3 linked regions of the Macaca mulatta genome follow. Each later gene encodes a partner of the first gene's protein in a complex. Links are inferred from orthologs where the notes say so. Each region holds a gene or a part of one and is shown in the gene's direction. Other genes may lie near its edges. The genes, in order: HERPUD1, OS9 and UBE2J1.

Region 1 (3,649 bases):
TAAATTGGATAATTATTGGATAGAAAATTATTGGTTAGAAAAACTTCTTCCCTTATTCTGATTCAACTATTTCTAACTTGAGAATTGAGGCTCGTATTTGACTTTCTGAATCTCACCATAGTTAAACTTGATTTCCTTTAACAAATACTTATTGAACAGCCAGTACATATAACTGTGCTTAAGGATATGAGTTGACCTGCAGGAATGACCACATAACCAATTTCTGATCTTCGGGCAATTCTATTATGCTTTCAATTTTGTGATGTGCTACTGAAGAAATACACTGTGTAAGAAGCACAAAGCCAAAGATAACCCACATACACCTGCCCTATGAAGTTGAGGGCTGTGTGGCCTGATTGAAGAAGCGTGCATTTGACATCAGACCAGCTCTGAAATCCAGCCTTGCTACTTAACTAGCTCAGTGACCTTGTGTAAAGCCCCTGTCTTCCCTGAGCTGTACTTGGGTTCCCCTTGTAAAATCTCCTTCGTGAGATTGCTGTGGATGCAGCAGCCTGTACAGGACCCCAGGTAGTCAGTAAGCATGCGCAGGTGATGCCACATGCACACATCACTATAGATACAGATGGAGGGTGGAGGAAGAAGTGTGGATATCAGGAGGATGGGAGAGATTTCCTTCAGGAAAGACTGGGAGAAATATGACTTTTGAGCTGCCCTCTAAAAGATAAACAGTGGGTTGAGACTTGCAGTGAGACTCAACAAGTCAAAACTGAGCAGGGATCTATCTACTTAACCCCAAAAGGTTGTTTATACATGCACTCAGCAAGTAGGTGGCAAGGGCTGTTGTTTTCCTGTGGGATAGGACTGTGGTAGAAGTGCTGTGTCATTTAGTACCTTCCGTGCTTATGGTACATGGGTGCATCATACAGTCATTTACCATGTAACTGCCATAAATCCCATTCTTCTGTCTCTTCCATTTGAATTCTAGATTTTAATTTAAACTTAGTTTTCATTTGCTCATACTCAACCCACTCAAAATGAGTGTTTTTTTAAATCTGTGTATAGGCCTGAAGCTGCCCAGCAGGCATTCCAAGGCCTGGGTCCTGGTTTCTCCGGTTACACACCCTATGGGTGGCTTCAGCTTTCCTGGTTCCAGCAGATATATGCACGACAGTACTACATGCAATAGTGAGTCCTTCCCGCTGTGCTGGGTGTGGCCAGGGCTCCCGGGAATTGAGAGGAATTTTATCCATGTTACCTGTAAAGTTCAGAATGGAGGGATGAATGTATTTTCATCAGTCTGCAGAGCCCTGCTCTGTTTGGTCTGTGGGTGGAGTAGAGTGTAAATGACAGCTGTTACCTGATTTGTATATTGACACAAGGGTGTTTTTGTCTGATACACAGTTTAGTGACTTTATTTAGAACATGTTACTTTCTTTTCAATTTGTGGTACCTTCAAAGTTTTGTGAAGATTTTAATTTGCTACTGTGCCATAATCTTACAGTGGCCTTGATGTTTAATTCCAGGTGAAATTCACCACGTGGCTTCTCTTAGAAAAGGCATTTATAGATATAGTTAGTAAGGAAGTTCTTCACTAAATTGAAGGAAAATCAAATGCATATCTACCTACTTCAAATTCTTAACAGTAAAAGACTGCTGTGTAAATAAGCCACAGCCTTCACGGTGCTTTGGTCTCAACAGTATCTGCCTCTGTCATTTTTATTTTAGTTTAGCAGCCACTGCTGCATCGGGGGCTTTTGTTCCACCACCAAGTGCACAAGAGATACCTGTGGTCTCTGCACCTGCTCCAGCCCCTATTCACAACCAGTTTCCAGCTGAAAACCAGCCAGCCAATCAGAATGCTGCTCCTCAAGTGGTTGTTAATCCTGGAGCCAATCAAAATTTGCGGATGAATGCACAAGGTGGCCCTATTGTGGAAGAAGATGATGAAATAAATCGAGATTGGTTGGATTGGACCTATTCAGCAGCTACATTTTCTGTTTTTCTCAGTATCCTCTACTTCTACTCCTCCCTGAGCAGATTCCTCATGGTCATGGGGGCCACCGTTGTTATGTACCTGTAAGCAGATGGTTTCTCTAATACAAATTACGCTACATTGTGTTCACACTAAGCAGATTTTGCTCTTTTTTGTTTTTTGTGTTTTTTTTTTTTTTTTTTTGAGACAGAGTCTCGCTCTGTCACTCAGGCCAGAGTATAATGGCACGATCACTGCAACCTCCGCTTCTCGGGTTCAAGCGATTCTCTTGCCTCAGCCTCCTGGGTAGTTGGTATTACAGGCACCTGCCACCACGCCTGGCTAATTTTTGTATTTCTAGTAGAGACGGGGTTTTGCCATATTGGCCAGGCTGGTCTCGAACTCCTGACCTCAAGTGATCCGCCCACCTTGGCCTCCCAAAGTGCTGGTTTTACAGGCGTGAGCCACTGCGCCTGGCCAGATTTGCTCTTTTTTGAGCAATCTCAGTTACTATAGAAGGAGGTGTGTTTAAATAGTATATCATTCTGTGGCTGGGCGCAGTGGCTCACGCCTGTGATCCCAGCACTTTGGGAGGCCGAGGCAGGAGGATCACATGAAGCCAAGAGTTCAAGACCATCCTGGCCAATATGGTGAAACCCTGTCTCTACTAAAAATACAAAAAATTAGCCGGGTATGGTGGCGCGGGCCTGTGATTTACTTGGGTAGCTGAGGCAGGAGAATTGCTTGAACTGAGGAGGCAGAGGTTGCAGTGAGCCAAGATTGCACCACTGTGCTCCAGCCTGGGTGACAGAGCAAGACCCTGTCTTAGAATAAATATATAATAAATAGTATATCATTATGGCACTTTCAGTACAAGGAATTCATGCCTTGGTTGGTTGTATGGTCCCAAGAACATATCAATCCTGTATTAATACAAGAATATTCTCTTGTCCTCTAGATAAGCTACCTTACCTTCCAGGCTCACAAACCAGAATTATGTAGCCATACTGAGGCATGGAACAGCAAATTGTATTTGTTTTGAATGAGAACATATTTGCCTTTATCAGGCCACAGCTGCCTTCCAGGGTAAAGGTCAGGCACTGACTGTTAGCATAGCCCTGAAAGGCAAGGGAATCTTCACATACCTGACATTTGGTTTTAGCTGTGGCCTGGAGCAGTACTCACCTGGGGGTGGTTTTGTACTCTCTCTCCCCAGGGGACATTTGGCAATGTGTAGGTATTTTTGTTTGTCACATCTAGGGGAAGTGGTCCTGCTAGCATCTGGTTAGTAGAAGCAAGAGTGCTGCTGAATTTTCTACAATGCACAGGACAACTCCCACAGTAAATATTTGGCTCAATATGTCACTAGTGCGAAAGCTGAGAAAGCCTGGCCTAGAGTGATGAGTCTTCATGGTTGAAACTAAAAGAAGAAATTTTCCTTTATAGTAAAAATGGATTTTTATTTTAGCTTTTAAAAATAAAAAATAATTAGAATATAATGAACACTCAAATATCCACAATTAATCATTGCTAATATTTTGTTATATTTGTTTTAAGACTTGGGATTTAATTGGTTTCTTCAAATCAAACATTTAGTTAATATTTTCTATAGTCTCTAGAATCATATATTTAAATGACCAAATGTAGGTTGTCATTATGTTATATATAATGATAGTTTTGTAGGTATATGCTTTCTCCCCACTTTGTGCAGGTTTT
Region 2 (2,982 bases), on another chromosome or scaffold:
CAAAAAACCTCCTCCATCACCCCAACCTACAGGTGAGAGCAGTCAGACAAGAAGGAGTAGCCCAGTCCGTTGTTTTCATCCCTCAGCTGGTCCTATTCCCAGAGGGGACCCTGTTCCTTCCCTTCTGAGGGTGCTTATTCTCTCCCCGGTTTCTGGAACACTGTCCTCACTTGCACCTGCTTCCCATCACCATCATCCCTTTGCGTGCTTACCTCCTATTCATCCCTCTGGGAAGCAGCTTTTAGAGCATGTCTGCCTGTTTTCTGGTTTGCTCCTGTACACCCAGTACCTAGCACTCTGCCTGGCACACAATGGATGATCAGTAGGTAGTAATTGAATGCTTGCGAGTCTATATGTGAAAACCACACATCTATGAAGGATGCAACCTGTCAACATTTAGGACTTTGCACCAAGAGAGTCCCCAGCTGTCAGGGCATGAATAGGAGAGCCCAGCCGCACATGAGCCAATAGCCTGGATAGACTTTAAATTATGTCTTCTTCTTGCATCCCCTTGTGTCCATTTCATAGGGTCCTATGGGTGTGGACATCAGATGTTCCAAATGAAATGTTCCAGTTTCAAACCCTCCATCCCATTCTCCCTATAAACATTGAAATGTCTTTAAAGTCCTAACATATGGAGGAGGAGACCACACTTTTCCAACCTGCTTCTTCAGACAAAACTTTGTTGGTGCAGGTGGCCTGCTTTTGGCTTCAGAAAACATTTGTTTTCCTATAGGTGATGGGCAGAATTATTGGGTAGGGTGGGAAGACGGAAGGCAGCAATTGGTGGAGGGAGCTCTATAGGCTGAATTGGGAGTGGGGGCACACATTTTTTTGAGCCCTGGCTCATACACATGTTGAGATGGAATAGCTGCCAAAGCTGCCACCCCTAACCCTGGAGTCATGCCTCTGCTTTGTGTTTCCCTGTGTGTCTCCCCCTCTAAGAGGAGGATCCTGAGCACAGAGTCCGGGTCCGGGTCACCAAGCTCCGTCTCGGAGGCCCTAATCAGGATCTGACTGTCCTCGAGATGAAACGGGAAAACCCACAGCTGAAACAAATCGAGGGGCTGGTGAAGGAGCTGCTGGAGAGGGAGGGACTCACAGCTGCAGGTGGGCCCTGGAGGGCGGCTGGACCCAGCACTGTCGGAAGGGCAAGCTGCCGGAAGTGGAGGGGCTGGGACCAGTGGGGCAGGGGGCCTGCCCTGAGGCTCCCAGCCATCCTCTCCTCTCACTGCATACTGCTCCTTTCCAGGGAAAATTGAGATCAAAATTGTCCGCCCATGGGCTGAAGGAACTGAAGAGGGTGCACGTTGGTTGACTGATGAGGACACAAGAAACCTCAAGGAGATCTTCTTCAATATCTTGGTGAGAGGCTTCTACCCCCAAGTCCTGGCCCCCAGGCCTCCTGTCCCCAGCCCGCCTGGAGTGGAGGTGTGGGCCTGCCCCAGCCATGCCGTTGCTGAGCTTCCGTTTCCTGATCTGTAAGACAAGGCTAGGGTTCCAGTGATTCAGAGTGCTGCCATGCAGGAAGAGCCTCTCAGGACATGGGTGTCCTCATTCCCTGCCTTCCCCCAGCTGCCTGGCCCAGGACTTCCTTGGGCTCAACAGCGAGTAGCTCCAGCCCACCTCTACCCTCTCCCACCAGGTGCCGGGAGCTGAAGAGGCCCAGAAGGAACGCCAGCGGCAGAAAGAGCTGGAGAGCAATTACCGCCGGGTGTGGGGCTCTCAAGGTGGGGAGGGCACAGGGGACCTGGACGAATTTGACTTCTGAGACCAACACTGCACTTGACCCTTCATAGAATCCAGAGTCTTCCTGGACTGGCCTGCCTCCTCCCCACCTCCCCACCCTGGGACCCCTGAGGGCCAAACAGCAGAGTGGAGCTGAGCTGTGGACCTCTCGGGCAATTCTGTGGGTGTGGGGGCCCTGGGTGAATGCTGCCACCCCAGCTGGCAGCCACCTTGAGAGCTCACCCGGCCTGTGATGTTTGCTCTCCTGAGCTTTCGCTCAATCCTCTTCCTCTTCCTCTGTGGCTTTTCTTGTTATTGTACTCTAATGATAGGATATTCCCTGCTCCCTACCTGGAGATTCGGTAGGATCTTCTGAGTGGAGGTGGGTAGAGAGAGCAAGGAGGGCAGGACACTTAGCAGGCACTGAGCAAGCAGGCCTCCACCTGCCCTTAGTGCTGTTTGGAGTTGCTTTACCCCCTTCTCTTGAATTGCCTTGAGATGTCCTTCTCCCTTTCCCTGCCCACCCTGTCCCCTACAATTTGTGCTTCTGAGTTGAGGAGCCTTCACCTCTGTTGCTGAGGAAATGGGAGAATGCTGCCCATCACCTCCAGCACAATCCCAGTGAAAAAGCTGTGAAGCATCCACCATGTTCTTGAACAATCAGGTTTCTAAATAAAGAACTGGACCATCAATCTGTCAACCTTTTTTGTGGGGTGGGGGTTCCAGCAGGGAGGAGGCTCAGTGTTCTTTTCAGATCATGCTCTGATCCTGTTCTTTGCTCCCCACTCCCCAGGTACTATAAACGGGGGCTGGGGTATGCAGGAAGAGACCAGAGTGGCTAAATGAAGCCTGGCCTGGCAAGGATTGAAAGAAACACTTGCAGTACCGTCATCTTCTTTTTCTCATCTGTCTGTTTCTGTTCCTTCCCTTCTCTTGCACCAAGTCTTTCCCTATCATTTCCCCCTTTATACCCTGAAAGCCAAAATGCACACCATGGAGTTCCCCACAGCAGGGATCTTCCTTCTGCTGCGGTCTCGCCCACAGCATGCTCCAGATTCCATTTGTCACCCACACCCCTACCCACCTGTCCTTTCAACATTTCCCAAAAAGACCTCCACCTTTGGGCATGCCCAGAGAGAGGGCTGCTGCCCACACATGCCAGTTTCTTAGTGTGCCAAGGGTATGTGGGCCTGGTGTCTCCCTTTCTTCTTCACTACCAAGTGCAAGCATGGGTCCCCCAACATGCCTCCTCCC
Region 3 (4,349 bases), on another chromosome or scaffold:
AACTGCACCCAGAGATTGATGGACCTGGAGGCTGAATAGCAAAAGGCTTCTAGTACTCAGCTATCAAATAGGAGCGCATTATATACAGCACCTGCTTTGCAGGCCTTGCTGTGGTAGGGCCTATTGCACAAATTAGGGGTTTTTGTAGAGCTGTGGCAGGAGAGGGTGTCAAGTGTTAGATATATCTGAAGATTCAACACAATGAATGAATGAAACAGCATTGGAGTTTGGTTTTGTTTGCATGTCTCAGCCAATCAGATTATCAGTTTACTATACAGAAAACAACCTCAGGGAATGGTTTAAAAGATACCATCTAATTTTAGATACCCTTCACTTTTTTCCTCCCAATTTCACCAAGAAATTCAGATTTATATTAACAATAGAAAACAAATCAAATTTAAGAGTTTTATATCTTTATATAACAGAATAAAACTTGCCCAACCTGATTAACCCTTTCTATCCGGCCCACCTTCCCAATCCCTCCCTCCTTTCCTTTCCTAAGGTAGGTTCCTACTCCTTGAGACTTTTGAACTCAGTCCTCTCTCTCGATCCCACACATTGGACAATGAAGCAGGAAGTGTGTCCTTTGAAGTTTAACCTTTCATATTTGTATGCTTTCCCTCAAATTCAATGTAATTCCTTTTTTTTTTTTTTGACAGCTTTTACATCTAAACAAACCAAAAAACCCAAAACTCCTGCAATGCCTAAAACAGCGTCTTGCACCTAACACACTACCCAAGAAAAAAAACTATTATGAATATCCAACTCCAGCCAGAGCCGTGACTCACGCCTGTAATCCCAGCACTTTGGGAGGCCGAGGCGGGCGGATCACTTGAGTCCAGGAGTTCGAGACCAGCCGGGCCAACACGACGAAACCCTGTCTCTATCAAAAATACAAAAAATTAACCGGGCGTGATGGCACACACCTGCGGTCCCAGCCACGCTGGAGGCTGAGGTGGGAGGATCGCCTGGGCCCAGGAGGTAGAGGCTGCAGTGAGCCAAGATCGCGCCACTGCACCCCAGCCTGGGCGACAGAGCGGTGACACCGTCTCAAAAAAAAAAAAAAAAATTCCTATTCCATTCCCTTATCACTGGCTTTCCCCCTCCTCACTTAACTCCCGCCCCCCGCAACAGGGACTGGATCTAAAAACAAAGCCCTTCCCAGACCCCGCGGGACCGCGCGCGGGCAGCCGGATGCGGACAGCTTTGCAGCCGGAGCCCGGCGCCCTCTCTGAGCTCTCCAGGGCCCGGGGATCCCAGACTTCGCCTACAGCGGGTAGGGCCGGAGCCGCTTCGCGCCGCGCGGTTCCTCGGTGAAACCCGCCAGCGCCTGGGGACGGACCCCAGAGGGTCCGGCGGAAGGCCGGTTTCCGGGGGCCGGAACGAGAGGACTAGGACGCCGCTCGCTCCTGCAGCTCCCCAAGCCGGCTTCGCGGGGCCGGCGGCGGCTGGGTAGGGACCGACCGCCACGAAGCTACTGCCACGTCAGGGCAACTTCACAAATCCCGGACGAGGGCGGGTGACGCAAGCCGGGCGGCCGCGACGGGGCTGGGCCTGCGGCTACCGGAGGAGGCTGACCTCCAGCCCGGGCGCCGGGTTCAGCGACGCCCCGGCCGGCGCCGGTGCCTGCCAGGCACTCAGGGAGGCGGGGGCGCAGCGGAGGAGGCGGCGCCATCGCGAAGCCAGCGCCTCGCCAGCACTCAGCCTTGCCACCCGCCCGCAGTCCGGGCTGGACTGGGCGGCATTTGCCAAGGCTCCTCGGCCAGGCCCCGTCCGCCCGAGCCGCGCTGAGACCTGGGCAGCGGCCGCGTGGAGAGGAGGTGGCAGCTGCCCGGGAGGCCGGAGCCAGGCCAGCGACCCGCCATGGAGACCCGCTACAACCTGAAGAGTCCGGGTGAGCAGGGCTGGGGCCCCTGGGCTAGGAGTGCGGAGTGACCCTGGACCCCGGGGCGGTCGCCGCGGTCCCCTCACGTCTGGCGCCACTCGCGGCTCAGCTCCTGGTTTCGCGCTCTACGCGAGACCGCCGCCTGCCCGGGAAGTGCAGGCCGCAGGGCGGGGTGGCCGGGTGGACGCCCGCTGCCAATCCCCCGGCCGGCCAGCGCCCGCAGCACCCAGCCTCCCCCTTTTCTCGTCTTCGCCCGGTCCCGTAGAGCTGGGTCAGAAACTCATCCCTGAGAACAGGTGTAAAGGTGATGTGGGTGGGCGATAGTCAGCAACCCCCTCGCTGTACCTGCATCCTGAACACCGTCGTTAATTCCCTCCCCGTCGCTGTCAGTGGACTATTAGCCTGCTGATTTACTCACATTTGAGGAGTTAGTCGTTTAAACATCCTATTTGCAGCACTTGGGCGAATGCAATTACAGACATAAAGGAAGTGTTCTGTAACTAAACCAGTTAACTGTAGAGCTAAAGCAAAACAAAACAAAAACAAAACAACAACAACAAAAAACACCTAGTTGAGCCCTGTTCTTGAGAGCTAACCTTGATTTTTGCCAGACTGGCTAATATGAAACATATCTGTCTTCAGTCGTAGGATTCCTTTCCTGCATTTAATGATCCTGCTTTATTTACACAAGCAGTCCCAGCAATACTAACCTTTACTTTCTGGTGCATTATAAAGATAAGCAACTAGCTTTCTCAGCTTAATGAAACAGGCTTGAAATAAATCATTGGATCCTCTAAATGGTATTTTTTCTATCTGTACCTTGATACATTTTGTCAGGGGGAAGAAACTCTACAGTTAACTCTGCATGATAAACTCTAGGGTATTAGTGATTTCACTAACTTTTGCGTTGCTTAACATTTCCTTCCAAAAAAAGCTGTTTCTCAGTAGGAATTAGCAAGACTAGCATCCTTATGGAAAGAGTTGACATTGTGAATCTTTGGGTTTTTTGTATGGTTTCAGAATATGCAAAAACCCCAGAAAAGCCTGAGGATATTGATTGGAGGGAGCTTTGTTAACCTGAGTGCTGTCAAGCTCAGAAATGTCCTTAGGTGACCAAGTGTGTAGAATTGGTCATAATATTTTAGGGGCCACTGACTCCTCAAAAAAATCTGATGAAGACCTGGCACGGTGGCACATGCCTGTAATCCCAGCACTTTGGGAGGCCTGAGCCCAGGAGGTGGAGAGCAGCCTGGCCAACATGGCGAAAGCCCGTCTCTACTAAAAACACAAAAATTAGCCGGGCATGGTGTTGGCGCACTTCTGTAGTTCCAGCCACTCGGGAGGCTGAGGCAGGAGGATGGCTTGACCCGTGGAGGCTGAGGTTGCAGTGAGCCAATATCGCGCCACTGCACTCCAGTGTGGGCAACAGAGCGAGACTCCATCTAAAAAAACAAAAACAAAAACAAAAAACAAAAAGAACCCCGGGGTGGGGAGGGAGGAAGAAAAGACCAAAGAGAAAGAGGGAAAGAAAAGCTTAATTTTTAAGGTAGATGGTAAAATGATTGAATTCTTTACATTGTGGTAGATTTAACTAGAACTGTTTGGGTAAAAATGTATGATGGCTTCCTGGTCACATGGTTCCTTAGGACAGCAGAGGTGCTCAGTGAAAGGTCCAGAGAATAATGCACATGTGAGTAGTAGTGCAGTTTGGAATGGAGAACTGGTGGAACCCAAGAGATTGTTGTCAGAAAACATCGCTCAATTTTGATAGGTTAGACGTAATACTATGATGATGTTTTTAAAATTCTTCAGAATTTTGTACATTTCCAAAGTATGTCAACTATTGTCAGCTGGTTGAGCTTTGGTTGACATGCTTCTAACTGTGTCATAAATTGCTTCCTTTTTTTGGTTTCATTTCCTCAAAGATAGTGTTGCGGTTCTAAAAAAAAAAACAGTGCTTCTTAAAAATCTATTTTTGTTAATGTGTGAATTATTTGGAGTTCATGGAGAAGTTGAATTAGGTGAGATATGGGACTTACTGAAAATGCTGGGAGGCATCGTGAAAATACTTCCTTCCTTTGCTTTATTCTCAGTCCTGTGTTATTTTTAGAGTAATGCCTGTGTGAAGGGGAGCAACTGAAAACTCCAGTTTCCTGCGTACGGCAGGGTGCACACACACGTAAAACACCAACCAACCAGACAAACAAAAAACAACCACACAACGGGAGAGACATAATCTTTTACTCTTTATCTGATGTGGGATTGTCTTTGATGTATGAGTGGAAAGATGAAGTGAAGACAATACAGATAGTTGGTTAAGGGCCAGTGTAGTAGCATGTGGATATAGTAAATTTGTTCATTTCATAGGTGGGGAAACTTTTTCCTTTATGGTGTTTTTTGGAATGGACTTGTGATTGTGGGTAGAGCTGTTGTGTAGGATCACCTCAAAGCCTCTGACTAACCT

Evidence for each region.
Region 2: HERPUD1 (region 1) and OS9 share a complex: the UniProt entries of both Homo sapiens proteins name them as parts of the HRD1 complex. The link is inferred for Macaca mulatta from reciprocal best matches to the Homo sapiens genes HERPUD1 and OS9.
Region 3: HERPUD1 (region 1) and UBE2J1 share a complex: the UniProt entries of both Homo sapiens proteins name them as parts of the HRD1 complex. The link is inferred for Macaca mulatta from reciprocal best matches to the Homo sapiens genes HERPUD1 and UBE2J1.

The regions. Positions count from the first base shown.
Region 1 is NC_133425.1:52,538,744-52,542,392, forward strand, and holds part of HERPUD1 (homocysteine-responsive endoplasmic reticulum-resident ubiquitin-like domain member 1 protein), read left to right. Parts: intron 1-1,023; coding exon 1,024-1,146; intron 1,147-1,686; coding exon 1,687-2,037; exon of another isoform or gene 2,038-2,145; intron 2,146-2,744; exon of another isoform or gene 2,745-3,649. UniProt on the Homo sapiens protein: Component of the endoplasmic reticulum quality control (ERQC) system also called ER-associated degradation (ERAD) involved in ubiquitin-dependent degradation of misfolded endoplasmic reticulum proteins.
Region 2 is NC_133416.1:64,898,537-64,901,518, forward strand, and holds the end of OS9 (protein OS-9 precursor), read left to right. Parts: coding exon 1-32; intron 33-945; coding exon 946-1,110; intron 1,111-1,252; coding exon 1,253-1,365; intron 1,366-1,645; coding exon 1,646-1,771; 3' UTR 1,772-2,420; downstream 2,421-2,982. UniProt on the Homo sapiens protein: Lectin component of the HRD1 complex, which functions in endoplasmic reticulum (ER) quality control and ER-associated degradation (ERAD).
Region 3 is NC_133409.1:96,637,016-96,641,364, forward strand, and holds the start of UBE2J1 (ubiquitin-conjugating enzyme E2 J1), read left to right. Parts: upstream 1-1,546; 5' UTR 1,547-1,863; coding exon 1,864-1,894; intron 1,895-4,349. UniProt on the Homo sapiens protein: Catalyzes the covalent attachment of ubiquitin to other proteins. Functions in the selective degradation of misfolded membrane proteins from the endoplasmic reticulum (ERAD) and is essential for cells to recover from ER stress.